Linked DNA regions of Arabidopsis thaliana. The protein of the gene in region 2 interacts with the protein of the main gene of each other region in a biochemical or structural test. Each region holds a gene or a part of one and is shown on either strand. Other genes may lie near its edges.

Region 1 (5,043 bases), on a different chromosome or scaffold from region 2:
TTTAACTATAACCAAACATAGTTTTGGGTGTAAACTTAACGTCATACATCACTTGCACTTGATTGATGTGTAACGAGACTGTCTGATATGATGATATGCACATGATACTGTTACCACCTTTTCGCATCTTATGTCGAGCTTGATTTATTCGAATGTAGCCAAACAAGATATGTTAAAAGAGTACAATATGGGCCGAGTAAACTAATTTAGTAATTTCACAAAAAGAAAAGTATCACTTATATTTCGCACTAAGTCAGTTAGATTATGCTTAATGCCCATTTACTCAAAACTCGAAAGTGCCAAAAACATGGGCCGAGGAAGAAAAATAATCATATTCAAGCCCATCAATATACAGGCCCGTTTTTCCCAGAATGTCAAAATGGGTTGATTAATCAAGAATGCACAATTGTAATTCTCATAAATAGAAAACAGAATCTGACACCAACTACAGTATTTCATAAGTTGGACATCAATATGCTAGAAACAAGGAATTGTGAATCTTGTGATGGCAAGAGAACCCACACACCAATTTCTATTTTCTCCAACTAGGTCCATTTTAGTCCGCATGAGGCTAAAGCCTAAACCCCCACCGACGCAGACCATGGACACATCTGCCTATTCATTTTAGAGTGGTCAACCACAAGCCGGTCCAAAGCCTAAACCTTCAAATCAGGACAAAATTGGACCCCTAAACCAAAATTGGGTCAAAACAACTCAGTCCATTGCAACATCCCTAATTCATTTGCTATTGTCATCGCTCATCACTCATCAGCCAGTTGTTTTAATGATTGTGTATTGGACCTTTATCCACCGAGGGAATATCACCATCAGCTATAATCCAATAATAACCTCAAGTTTGCTTTGTTTTACTTTGCTTTAAACTTCTTTTGGATCCCTCCGACCACATCAAAGATCTGATTGGTCACATCAAAAAAACCCTCATGGGAATAAGATTATTATTAATTTAAATTCAAAAACCAAAACAATCTCCATCAACAACATTCAAGATTTCACTATCTTACAATATTTCAAAAAAAATGTATGTTTTGGGTTTTTTTAAGTAAAGGAAAAGTTGCAAACTTTAGGACTAACCTCGAGAATGCTGAAAAAGCAAAGGGAGGGGAACTCAAAATCAGCAAATGGGTATTTTTGTTTTTTGGACCAACGACTGGTCTCCTGCTTGCTTTGTTTTTGAGCCTGCAAACAATATCCAATCCTCAGTTTTAAAATATGTTACTTTGAGAACAGAACCTGATGCTTCAGAATGTTCTTAGTTTGCATGTGATTAAAAATATTTGTTATAAAGAAATTTAAATGACAACAGTAAAGAAAAGTGTAGTCAGATAAAGAAAAAGATCTTCCCTCATGAATAAATCAGATAAGGATAAAGAACAAATCATAATTAAGGGAGCAATATATCAAACAGAAGTGGTTCTTTTTGAATCATTGCATTGAGGATTAAGATCTGTTGATGAATCAACAAGGTGGGAAAAAGTACTAAGAGTAATTAGCATAACCAAACACAAACAAAGTACTAATTTCTTGAACTTTGGCAAGCAAATATTGAATCCCTCATGCTAGAATCTAATGGTAATTTCTACACTAGAGACAATAGATTTTATCTTAGACTACTATTACATAGTATTGCAGGCAAAAGTGACTATGTGGAGTTATGGTATGTGTTTTTTCGATATTGGTGTGATATTTGTGAGAAGATGTAAAGATGAAGTAGCACAAATAAACATGCAGCCGATGTTGTTGCTTAAAAAAGTGAGCTAGGGATCCTAAAGTGAAGGGGAGGAAGATCTTAGAATAATATAAAGAATCATTCTTAAAGAGGAAAAAAATAATGTATTTGTTTCTTTTCGAAGAGGGTTACTCTGTTGTACCTCTTTTTTGCCAAAGTTTAATGCTTTATATGAGTAGCTCCTGTAGGCTGTGTAGTAATGGAATAGTACCAACGGTTTGCATGGCCCACGGCTCCGGTCCTCTGTGTTCCTGCCGTTTTAACAAAACATCAAACAAAACCACTTTCCTTAACAACAAAGGAATTATACATAGCCAGAATCCACAACATTAAAGAGTGTAAACTTGAATGATTAAGATATAACCCATTGTTGTCAAAAAGTTAAAGGTATTGTATACTTCAAAGTACAATTTTGAAATCAAGGAAAAAGCTTTCGATACAATGAATATGCAATGCCATTGAACCGTAACTCAACTTTTCATGCTGTTTTTTTCGTAGTTTCGCTTAAACTATTCGTCAATATAATTAGAAACGAATACAACATATAATGGAACTATGGCAGCATAGGTAATTGGGTTATAACCAAAGCAGCTTATAGATGGTGTATACAAAGAATCTCACTAAACATGTTCACTGGTAAAAGTGTTCAAGAAAGTGTAAGTGTGTCAGTTTAACAGTCGCCTTCAACGACGTGGCTAGTTAGGAAGGTCTCCAGAAACCCAAATTAGGCTAATTTCCAGTCAAGATTGGAATGAGATGGATATGGTTAGACAAAAGCAAAGGATAAATGTAGAGATGTAGGGAAACCAATGAAGAAAGATACTTAACTTCCCAGCGGTTTTCGTGAACTGAACTCTTTTGTACAATCATTGTCAGATTCTTTCATAACAGCCTTAATCTACTTAGATTTCCAAAGCAATGTTTTTTAAGTGAATCTAAATTCCCCAGGGTCACAGGGACCCACTGTGCTTTTACACTTTAAAGCTTCCTCCAAATCCCAATAACTGATATATAACATGACTATATCTACAGGAAGGAACACACACAAAATCAGAACTCAGAAGGGCTATAATCTCATAACTCCTAACCTTCTCATTTCTTTGAAGAAAAGAAAGATACTCTGAATCTTCTTGTCTGCCTAAGAGCAGAAATGTTGGGTTCCAGTACAAGATCAATGTTTTTTCTTCTCGTCTGCATAGGATTACTAGCAGACAACAGATATAATGTCTCAGCCATGAGACATAGAGAGTTTTTCCTCAAAGAAACACAAGCAGAAAAAGCAGGAGTTCAGACAGAGGAAATTTCTAAGCTCAGGAGCATCGGTGTTCAATTCAAACACACCCTTGAAGATCAAGAAATGCTCAATAAAAACCGACGCGTTCTCGAGGAAGTTAACAAAGATAAAATCAAAGCTGAGGAGACACAAGAACGAAAGAATAAGACAGAAGACTCATTCAAATCAAGCAAGAGACGTGTAAGACGAGGATCAGATCCTATCCACAACAAAGCTCAGCCATTTTCTTAAACGGCGCAAGAGAAATCAAATACAGAAAAAGGCAATATACTATAGAAACGCAAGAAGAAGAAAAGGGCATAACAATCAACCTTATCAAAGCTGGAGGTAGGTTAGTTGGTTATTCTCAGGGTTTATTTTTCAAGTATAGGTTTTGATAAGAACACACAATATGGTGAAGCCATCAGATTATGCAGAACAGCATTATCTGTTCAGATACACCAAGAGAATACATATTTGTTTTCAAGATATTTCTTTGACCAAGTCCCCACTCTATTGTTTGCATTAGTTCGTATAAGTTTTGTTCTTTCTGCAATGCTTTTGACTCCCACCAAAACATGTCCTATGTATATAACATATCTCAAAAGTTTTGATTTTGCTACAACTTCACTATGCAACCTCTATTTTCACACAAATCACATTTGCACTTGAAAGGTAAACAATTCTGTCTTTCTAACAAATATCAAACTTATCATTTGAGTGAAAATGAAAATCTAAGAAATTGGAATTCTAAGGATTCTTCATGAACGTAGCCTTAAGATCAACCTTCAAGAAATTTACAATCACATGAAGATTTTAGTGGAACTAATACCTACATTGTGATGCGATCCAACTAATAATCGGTAGATCAACCTCTCAAAATCGAAGTATTACTTAGGCGCCATGAAAACCAGCGGAATACGAGGACTTACAGTTATTCTCCGAATACATCTTCCGGCGAGTTTAACTCCGCCGCCGGATCAGCAGTTTCCTCATACGGTGGGGAGGAGAATCATTGGCACCTAGCCGCAAGGAACGGCTCGCTACGACGGTTCAGTCGCCGAGGGCCTAACGGTGCTACCAGAGAGCTTAGTTTAGTTGTTAGGCCCAGTTCATAAAAATAACTCTCTTTGGGCCTAGGCCTTTAGATATTTTTTTATCCTGCCCAGCCTTGATGTGTTTGATTTGTGCTCGATGATTAAAGTTAAATCCATCTTTTAACTTTAAGAAAAAATTTGCATAAATTAATAGATTTATCGTTGTCCATCAATAAAATGGATTTATAATTTTACTATACAATTTTAATGATGGAAATATAAAAATAGTTTTTAAAAAAAATATGTATCTTGTTTGAATCTAATGTTAAATTGTATTCAAAAACAAAACAAAAAAACATTGATACATATGAATGTAAATTTTTCTTAAAATAAATTATTAAGAGATTCTATGATCTATCTTCACCTCTTCTTCTTAGTACGCTCAAACGGATTTCATGTTCTTGTCAATCAATTTAACGATTTTCTTCGTGGTCGAAGATTGGTCTCGTGCCTCCTCTCATTTCTTTATCACTAAATAAAGAGTATCGTGTTTTGAAACAGTACTTGGGAATAAATTTTGTTGTGGAATCAAGATCTTTACTCGCAAGCTCTCTCGTGATATCCTTCTATTTTGTCTGAGTTATCAGCTCTTCCCACACCTTTCTCGAATACTGGCATTGAAAAAACAAATGCTCTCTCGTCTCCAACGGATTTTTACAAAATACGCAATTTGTATCCGCATTTTGGTTCCATTTAATCATTCTTTATTATGTTGCAACTTTGCTTTTCACAACCAGTCAAGTGACAACATCATACTTTGGAGTAGCTTTGGAAAAACTAACTTCTTTGTATCCTTGCATCTCCGGTTTAGCTATGCATATTTGTGACCACGTCTCTTTAGAGACAAATTGCTTACGGTAGTTATCGTTTTTTATCTAGTCTTTGTTTCTGTTTATTTTTCTAGTAGTGAATTTTAGCATTTGTTA
Region 2 (8,025 bases):
CTTACATAAAAAAAATTCCATATATCTTTTGTATTCTTTCGAGGACTGGTTCTTATATGCTTTAGCTTATGTTATCACATGTTTATGGAGTTGTTCTTTTCTCTACATGAAATTGCCTATTTATATGATAAGGGATATATGTTACCCTTATATGGATATTCTTAGTTTATCAGTCTATTTAGGGAGGAAGTTGGAATTATTTCATTAAATTAAGGGAAGAAAACAAAAGGAAGAGAACAAGCGTGGGGTGGGAGAAAGTGGGCGTGTGGGGGAATTGCAAAACCCTAGAAAATGGAATTAAGCAAAGCATGCCCTTCCATGACAATGACCACTCTCTGTATATTCTCTCCATAAAATTCATTCTTTTTGTTTTATGGACCCATTTTTCCTTTGCAATTAGTTCTCGATGTGCGTTTTGGTGGTACAACTCTATTCATAAACTATACAATTTCGATACGATAACTCAAAACGTTTATTTTCTTACCTTCCGGGTGGTACACTCATAGTTTTCTCATCAGAAATAAAAGCAATTAAAATCCATTGGAATTTGGTTAGAAATGCTCTTGTTTTATATATATATCATCAAAACAAGAGCTATACCAGTGAAACTAAACTATATAACGTTGGGGTTTAAATGTAAGATGACTCGTTAAACAGTTATATATGTTCAGAAAACATAATATATGTTAATAGAAAACATTAGGACGCTCTATGTTTAAGAAAGATGATTTGGTTAAGCTTGATGAGAGATAAGGTAACTACGTAGATAAGTCGTTTAAAAAAAGACATATGGGTTAGACCACAGACCACTACATATACCACATAAATTGGAATTAACTCATCAAGTTTATGTGTGAAGACATAGTTTATGTAAAGTAGGTGAAACATGATTGGGATTGATATATAGCATGACTTAGTCTATGCTAATATTTGGTCTAAGCTTAGGTTATTTAAGCCAAGCTGATTAGACAAGAACCAAGTGGTTATTTTTTTATCAAGTGGAAAATATATAGTAGTATGAGAGCTAATTGAATAAATTAGACATGAATTGATTATGTATTTACCTAGGTAGACGAGATTATTATACTCACTAAGCTTAATAGATCAGAATCCTGTTTAATTATTAAGACGGCTAGTGAGCGAGACCAAAGATTCAATAAAGAAGGACAATGAGGATAGGTAGTCACCGAATATAGCACAATGTTGTAGCCTAAGACCATTGCAAACATTGTATTTAAAAACAATGGTTAATAAGGAATGATTTATCAATAAAGTTCTAAATTTGAGACTTATATAGTGCAAAATTAAATTTAAGTACAACATGAATTTAAACAAAGAATTGGACTCGAAGTGAATCTACATGAATTACTCTATAATACAGTGATTGACATAGGTTATCACATTTTTACGTACATATATTTATATTCGTACAAATTGTTTTGTAGCCAGGATTTGAATTTCTATTTATATAAATTTATACTTAAAAATAACAGAAATACTATAGAGAAGGTCAAATTAACTAGGAAAGATTTAAGTACAAAAAAATGATTAAGTGCGTAGAGTGGGAAAATGCTTTTCAACGTTCACATAAGATGTTTAGTCACAAGAAAAAGTGTTTTGATTTTCTTCAGTCAAAAGAACATTTCGATAGTAAGCCGACAAACATCTCAGAGGCTTTTTGACGACATCAATCCCATCCTCATCTGTCCGTGTTCAAATGTCCGATTACAAAAGTGATTGAGAAAGAAAAGTAACAGTGATATTTCTATGATTACTCGCATTAGTTCTTACCATAACAATTATAATCTGATTAGCTTCCCATAACAACTAATTTATGATGCAAGTGTTTTTAAGCATGCTATTTTTAAGATTTCTTAGCTCTCTAATATAAAATTTTATTAGCGTTTTTAACGTACAAAAAATAAAATACGATGTCGAATATAATTATCCTAAAACAAATTAATAAGCCACAGAATGTTTCTTTTTTCCTAAATTAGGTCTTAATATTAAATTTACTCTAACATGCACTAAGTTGAATACAATTAACCTAAAACAAATTAATAAGCCACAAAGTGTTTTTTTTTTCTTTCTAAAATTTGGTTTTAGTTTTTACTGTTGAAGTAACACTAAGTTGTGATAGAGTAGGAGTACCAGCCGGTGATTCAACTAATTCAATTCGGAAAAGAGAAAATTATATAACAACGTAAACAACATTCTTACTTTGTGTTTTGAGGGTAAACAAATTAGTTTTTGTTCTAGTTCATAATCTAAAGAACGATTTTTGTTTAACAAATGCTTAATTCAATATTATTTTTCTTTATATTTTTACTGAATAATATCTATATTAAATAAATCAGCCATAATTTAAGGTGCCAAAGTGCTCGACACCTTTTTTGTTTCTTTCTATTTTAAAATTTAAACTTTGGTAATATTCCCCTTTTTGTAGCCCATCCTAGCACTTTTTATCCCTTTTCCATCTAGTACAAAGAATAGTGCACACTGCCTTTCTTATGAAACTCTCTAAGATTTTATACATGAAGGAAAAAAAAATTAAAAGTCTAATTTGAAAAAAAAAAAAAAAAGACAAAGAAGACTATTATAATCTTTCTAATCAAAGGTCATCATTGATCCCCCTTTAATTTTTTTCTTTCTTCTGTTTTACAGCTAAGGTTCAAAGCAAATCACAGTCCTTAAGAGCAACACATTCAACACAAGAGCATATATATACATATCAAATAACCTCATGTAATAATAGAGCAAAGCCAAAGAAACAAAAGCAAACATGTCTACTTCTCATCATCATCATCACCCTCCTTATCTCATCACCACATTATTCTTCTTGTTTCTTAACTTCTCCTGCCTCCATGCAAATGAACTCGAGCTTCTCTTATCATTCAAATCCTCAATTCAAGACCCTCTAAAACACCTCTCCTCTTGGTCTTACTCTTCAACCAATGATGTGTGTCTTTGGAGTGGCGTCGTTTGCAACAACATCTCTCGTGTTGTCTCTCTCGATCTCTCCGGCAAGAACATGTCCGGTCAAATCCTCACCGCCGCTACTTTTCGCCTACCTTTTCTTCAAACTATCAACCTCTCAAACAACAACTTGTCCGGTCCAATACCTCACGATATCTTTACCACTTCGTCTCCTTCTCTCCGTTACCTCAACTTAAGCAACAACAACTTTTCCGGCTCCATCCCTCGAGGCTTTCTTCCGAACCTCTACACGTTAGATCTTTCCAACAACATGTTCACCGGTGAAATCTACAACGACATCGGGGTTTTCTCTAACCTTAGAGTCCTTGATCTCGGTGGAAATGTCTTAACCGGCCATGTACCGGGCTATCTTGGAAACCTCTCAAGATTAGAGTTCTTAACATTGGCTTCAAACCAGTTAACCGGAGGTGTACCGGTGGAATTAGGGAAGATGAAAAACTTGAAATGGATATACTTGGGATACAACAATCTCTCAGGAGAAATCCCTTACCAAATCGGTGGGTTATCCTCTCTTAACCACCTTGATCTCGTCTACAACAATCTCTCTGGACCGATACCTCCTTCACTAGGTGACTTGAAGAAGCTTGAGTATATGTTTCTCTATCAAAACAAGCTCTCCGGTCAGATCCCACCGTCCATCTTCTCCCTCCAAAACCTAATTTCTCTCGACTTTAGCGATAACTCGCTCTCGGGAGAGATCCCTGAGCTCGTGGCTCAGATGCAAAGCTTGGAGATTCTCCATCTCTTCTCTAATAACTTAACAGGAAAAATTCCAGAAGGAGTAACTTCTTTGCCACGTCTAAAAGTTCTTCAGCTTTGGTCAAACAGATTTTCCGGTGGAATTCCGGCAAATCTTGGGAAACATAACAATCTCACTGTTCTTGATCTTTCTACCAACAATCTCACCGGAAAACTCCCTGACACTCTTTGTGATTCTGGCCATCTCACTAAGCTCATCCTCTTCTCTAACTCTCTAGACAGCCAAATCCCACCGAGTTTGGGCATGTGTCAGAGCTTAGAACGCGTGAGGCTTCAAAACAATGGCTTTTCAGGCAAGTTACCTCGAGGTTTCACCAAGTTGCAACTCGTTAACTTTTTGGACTTATCCAACAACAACCTCCAAGGTAACATCAACACATGGGACATGCCACAACTTGAGATGTTAGACCTCAGTGTGAACAAATTCTTCGGTGAATTACCGGATTTTTCTAGAAGCAAAAGACTCAAGAAGCTCGATTTATCACGGAACAAAATCTCTGGAGTGGTTCCACAAGGGCTCATGACGTTTCCGGAAATAATGGATTTGGATTTAAGTGAGAACGAAATCACTGGAGTGATCCCAAGGGAGTTGTCTTCTTGCAAAAATCTAGTGAATCTTGACTTGAGCCACAACAATTTTACCGGAGAGATCCCTTCGAGTTTCGCAGAATTCCAAGTTCTCAGCGATCTTGATTTGTCATGCAACCAATTATCAGGCGAGATTCCGAAGAATCTAGGAAACATTGAGTCTCTTGTTCAAGTCAACATCTCTCATAATCTTCTTCACGGAAGCTTACCTTTCACCGGAGCTTTTCTTGCCATAAACGCAACAGCAGTTGAGGGTAACATCGATCTTTGTAGCGAAAATTCCGCTAGCGGTTTACGTCCTTGCAAGGTTGTAAGAAAGAGAAGTACGAAGAGTTGGTGGTTAATCATCACTTCAACCTTTGCAGCTTTCTTGGCTGTCCTAGTCTCTGGTTTCTTTATCGTTCTCGTCTTTCAAAGAACGCATAACGTTTTGGAGGTCAAGAAAGTGGAACAAGAAGATGGTACAAAGTGGGAAACTCAATTCTTCGATTCAAAATTCATGAAATCGTTTACGGTGAACACAATTCTATCGTCTCTTAAGGACCAAAACGTTCTTGTGGATAAAAACGGCGTGCATTTCGTTGTTAAGGAGGTCAAGAAGTATGATTCTCTTCCCGAGATGATATCCGATATGAGGAAACTTTCTGACCACAAAAACATTCTTAAGATAGTTGCTACGTGCCGGTCGGAGACTGTGGCGTACTTGATACATGAGGACGTCGAAGGGAAACGGCTGAGCCAGGTTTTAAGTGGTTTGAGTTGGGAGAGACGGAGGAAGATTATGAAGGGAATCGTCGAAGCTCTTCGGTTTTTACATTGCCGGTGTTCTCCAGCTGTTGTTGCCGGTAATTTATCGCCGGAGAATATTGTCATCGACGTCACCGATGAACCAAGGCTTTGTCTCGGTCTTCCGGGCTTACTTTGCATGGATGCTGCTTACATGGCCCCAGGTATAATTTACATCTCTGTGTCAAAACAAAAAGACCAAATTCAATTATTCAACTTAGAATAATGGCTTTCCATGCAAATATTACAACCCATGTTAAAAACAAATCGGTTTTCACGTTTTGGAAAATATACTCTAAAATCGATCCAAAAATTAATTCAGTTTGATCTTGATTTTTTTTTTCCTGCTTCCATTGAGATTTGGATAAATAATTTGTATAAAAATATTAAGAAGTTATGTAATATTATAGATTTTCAGTATAACTCAATGTACCTTTTCTATATACATTGCTAAAAGATCAAATTTTCAATACAATTTTGGTTGATTCAGTTTAATTGCACAAAATTCGGATCCGGCTTCTAATTGATGATCTTAACTTTGGTTCCCGTTTGCGTGTCCACCACTAATTAATCTAGAAAAAATGGATGTCTTAAAATGTTTTTGTTTTCATGTTACATGTTAAATGGATTTTATTTGTGTTTCTATTTTCCTCTAATGCTAGTTCTTCGTTTTGTAACGTAGAAACGAGAGAGCACAAGGAGATGACAAGTAAAAGTGACATCTATGGTTTTGGAATCCTCCTCCTTCATCTCCTCACCGGTAAATGTTCCTCCAGTAATGAGGACATCGAATCTGGAGTTAACGGAAGTTTGGTCAAGTGGGCTAGATATTCGTATTCGAATTGCCATATCGACACGTGGATCGACTCATCCATTGACACATCAGTGCATCAGCGCGAGATTGTCCATGTTATGAACTTGGCTTTGAAATGTACGGCCATTGATCCGCAAGAGAGGCCATGCACCAATAACGTGTTACAAGCATTAGAGTCTACCTCATCGTCAAGTTCTTCTTGCACTACTTATTTGTCAAAGATACTATCGTTGGCCTGACAATTCTGGCTTCGTTTGACCCCATTATATATATGTAATTTTATTTGGGTTCTTATTTTTGTTTTAAAATCTCATTTTCTTTGTCTTTTTTTGTTAGGTTTAATAACCCAAATTAATATATTGTCTATCAAGATGGTTTTGTTTATGCTTGATTGTTTACTGATGAATGTATATATAATATATAATGTGAAGAATGGTTTGAACATCTTCTATGCATGTTTTTCTTCCGTGGACCGGGTTGACGAATTTGTTCTAAAATGTGACTAGACTAGCAATGATTATGCAATGTAGCGTCTATATTCATTTCACAAGTGACATGTAGCGATGAAGTGTCTGTTAGTTACTTCACTTCAAATTGATCGGGATGGTACAAGTAACAAGTTCACTACATAGGCCGGTACTGGTCCGATTCTGGCTTCGAGAAAAGGCAACCTGGTTTGTCTCGGTTCGGGTCTAAGCCATTTTTGTTTCCATAATCCTTTAATCCATTATGGTAGACCAACCCGTTAAAGAATAAGTAATAAGTTGGCACTACTGTCCTCTTCATCTTTATGAATCAACTAAGAAATAATGATAAAATAATTACAAGAGATAACTAAATGGGAGGATCGAGTAGATAACTTTAATAAAATTGTACTTAATAACATGAAATTTCGACAATGTGGTCAAAAGATATTGAGGAACAAAACGAATAGCCAATAAGAAAAGGACTCAACACTTGCACCCACTTTGGTTTTTAAGTTTGTCATCATTGTTCCTTGTATTCTCTTCTTATTATCTACTTTCCACAATTTATTTTATGTTTTGTATGTGCATGTTTGTCTATATATAAATTCTTTTTTCTTGCAATATAATGATAGAAATGAGAAGATCGAAAACCTTTTCTTTTCTCTTTTGCATCATAGGAGAGATTTTGTTCATATGCTTTCTGCAAACTTTTAGAGGTATCCATTTGTAATTATGTTTCTATATATTAGAAATTAATATTGACTGGCCAATATACTTTTTATTTATCAAAATAATAACTACTAGTTGAAAACAAACTACTATTCCTTCACTACAAAATAATGTCGCTTACAGATAATTAATTTCAGATAAAAGTTTTTTTTTATATAAATGAACGTCAATAAGACACAAAGATACTACTGATGGCTTATTCGTGTCTTCTTCTGTCAAAGCGCACTCCTTCCATTGATTTTATTTTCCCTTTTAGACCTTCTTTCATAATATATTGTTTGTTTTGTAGATTTCAGTCACCTGTATCTCTTCGTTGTATTCTGTATTCTGTAAAAACAAATCTCAAAAATGAGATACAATTTAACATTTTACCCCCAAAAAATGTTCCGAGAAAACATATTATGATATATATTGTTGGCAAAAAGTATCGATAACGCATCGGAAACACCCTTATTCCACGAATCGACAACAGAAATCAGCCTTTGGCATAAAGTTTATATTCCATGCTAGTTGTGTTTCATTTGCTTTTTGTTCTGTCAAAAATGTTGATTTGCTTTGAGATTAAACAATTATGTAAAACTATGGATAAATGTAGAAAGGGACGTAACAGCTAAGTGAGCATGTTCTAATGTCAAAAGTCTCGAAGATACCAAAATAATACTCGTTCTTGGAGACCATGCAAAAAGCCCTTTGGACCTTACTTCCTTTCCGGTCAAAAATGTTCCTTTTGTTTCCTTTTTCCTCTATAGCTTGGTCCAGTTTTTTTTTTTTTTTTTTTTTTTTTTTGTCAAAGTTAGCTTGGTCCAGTTTTGATTTCAAAATTGCATATCAATCATGTGTTTTTTTCACATCCTTTATTCGGCAAATGGATGTGTATATTTCCTT

What was found.
Region 1: the proteins of AT2G25790 (region 2) and CLE45 interact in a test that uses a peptide from one of them, tested with the Arabidopsis thaliana proteins (one study listed by BioGRID).

The regions. Positions count from the first base shown.
Region 1 is NC_003070.9:26,175,253-26,180,295, forward strand, and holds CLE45 (CLAVATA3/ESR-RELATED 45), read left to right. Parts: upstream 1-2,789; 5' UTR 2,790-2,897; coding exon 2,898-3,272; 3' UTR 3,273-3,673; downstream 3,674-5,043.
Region 2 is NC_003071.7:10,997,849-11,005,873, forward strand, and holds AT2G25790 (Leucine-rich receptor-like protein kinase family protein), read left to right. Parts: upstream 1-2,637; 5' UTR 2,638-2,782; coding exon 2,783-5,294; intron 5,295-5,812; coding exon 5,813-6,183; 3' UTR 6,184-6,424; downstream 6,425-8,025. UniProt on the Arabidopsis thaliana protein: Receptor with a serine/threonine-protein kinase activity.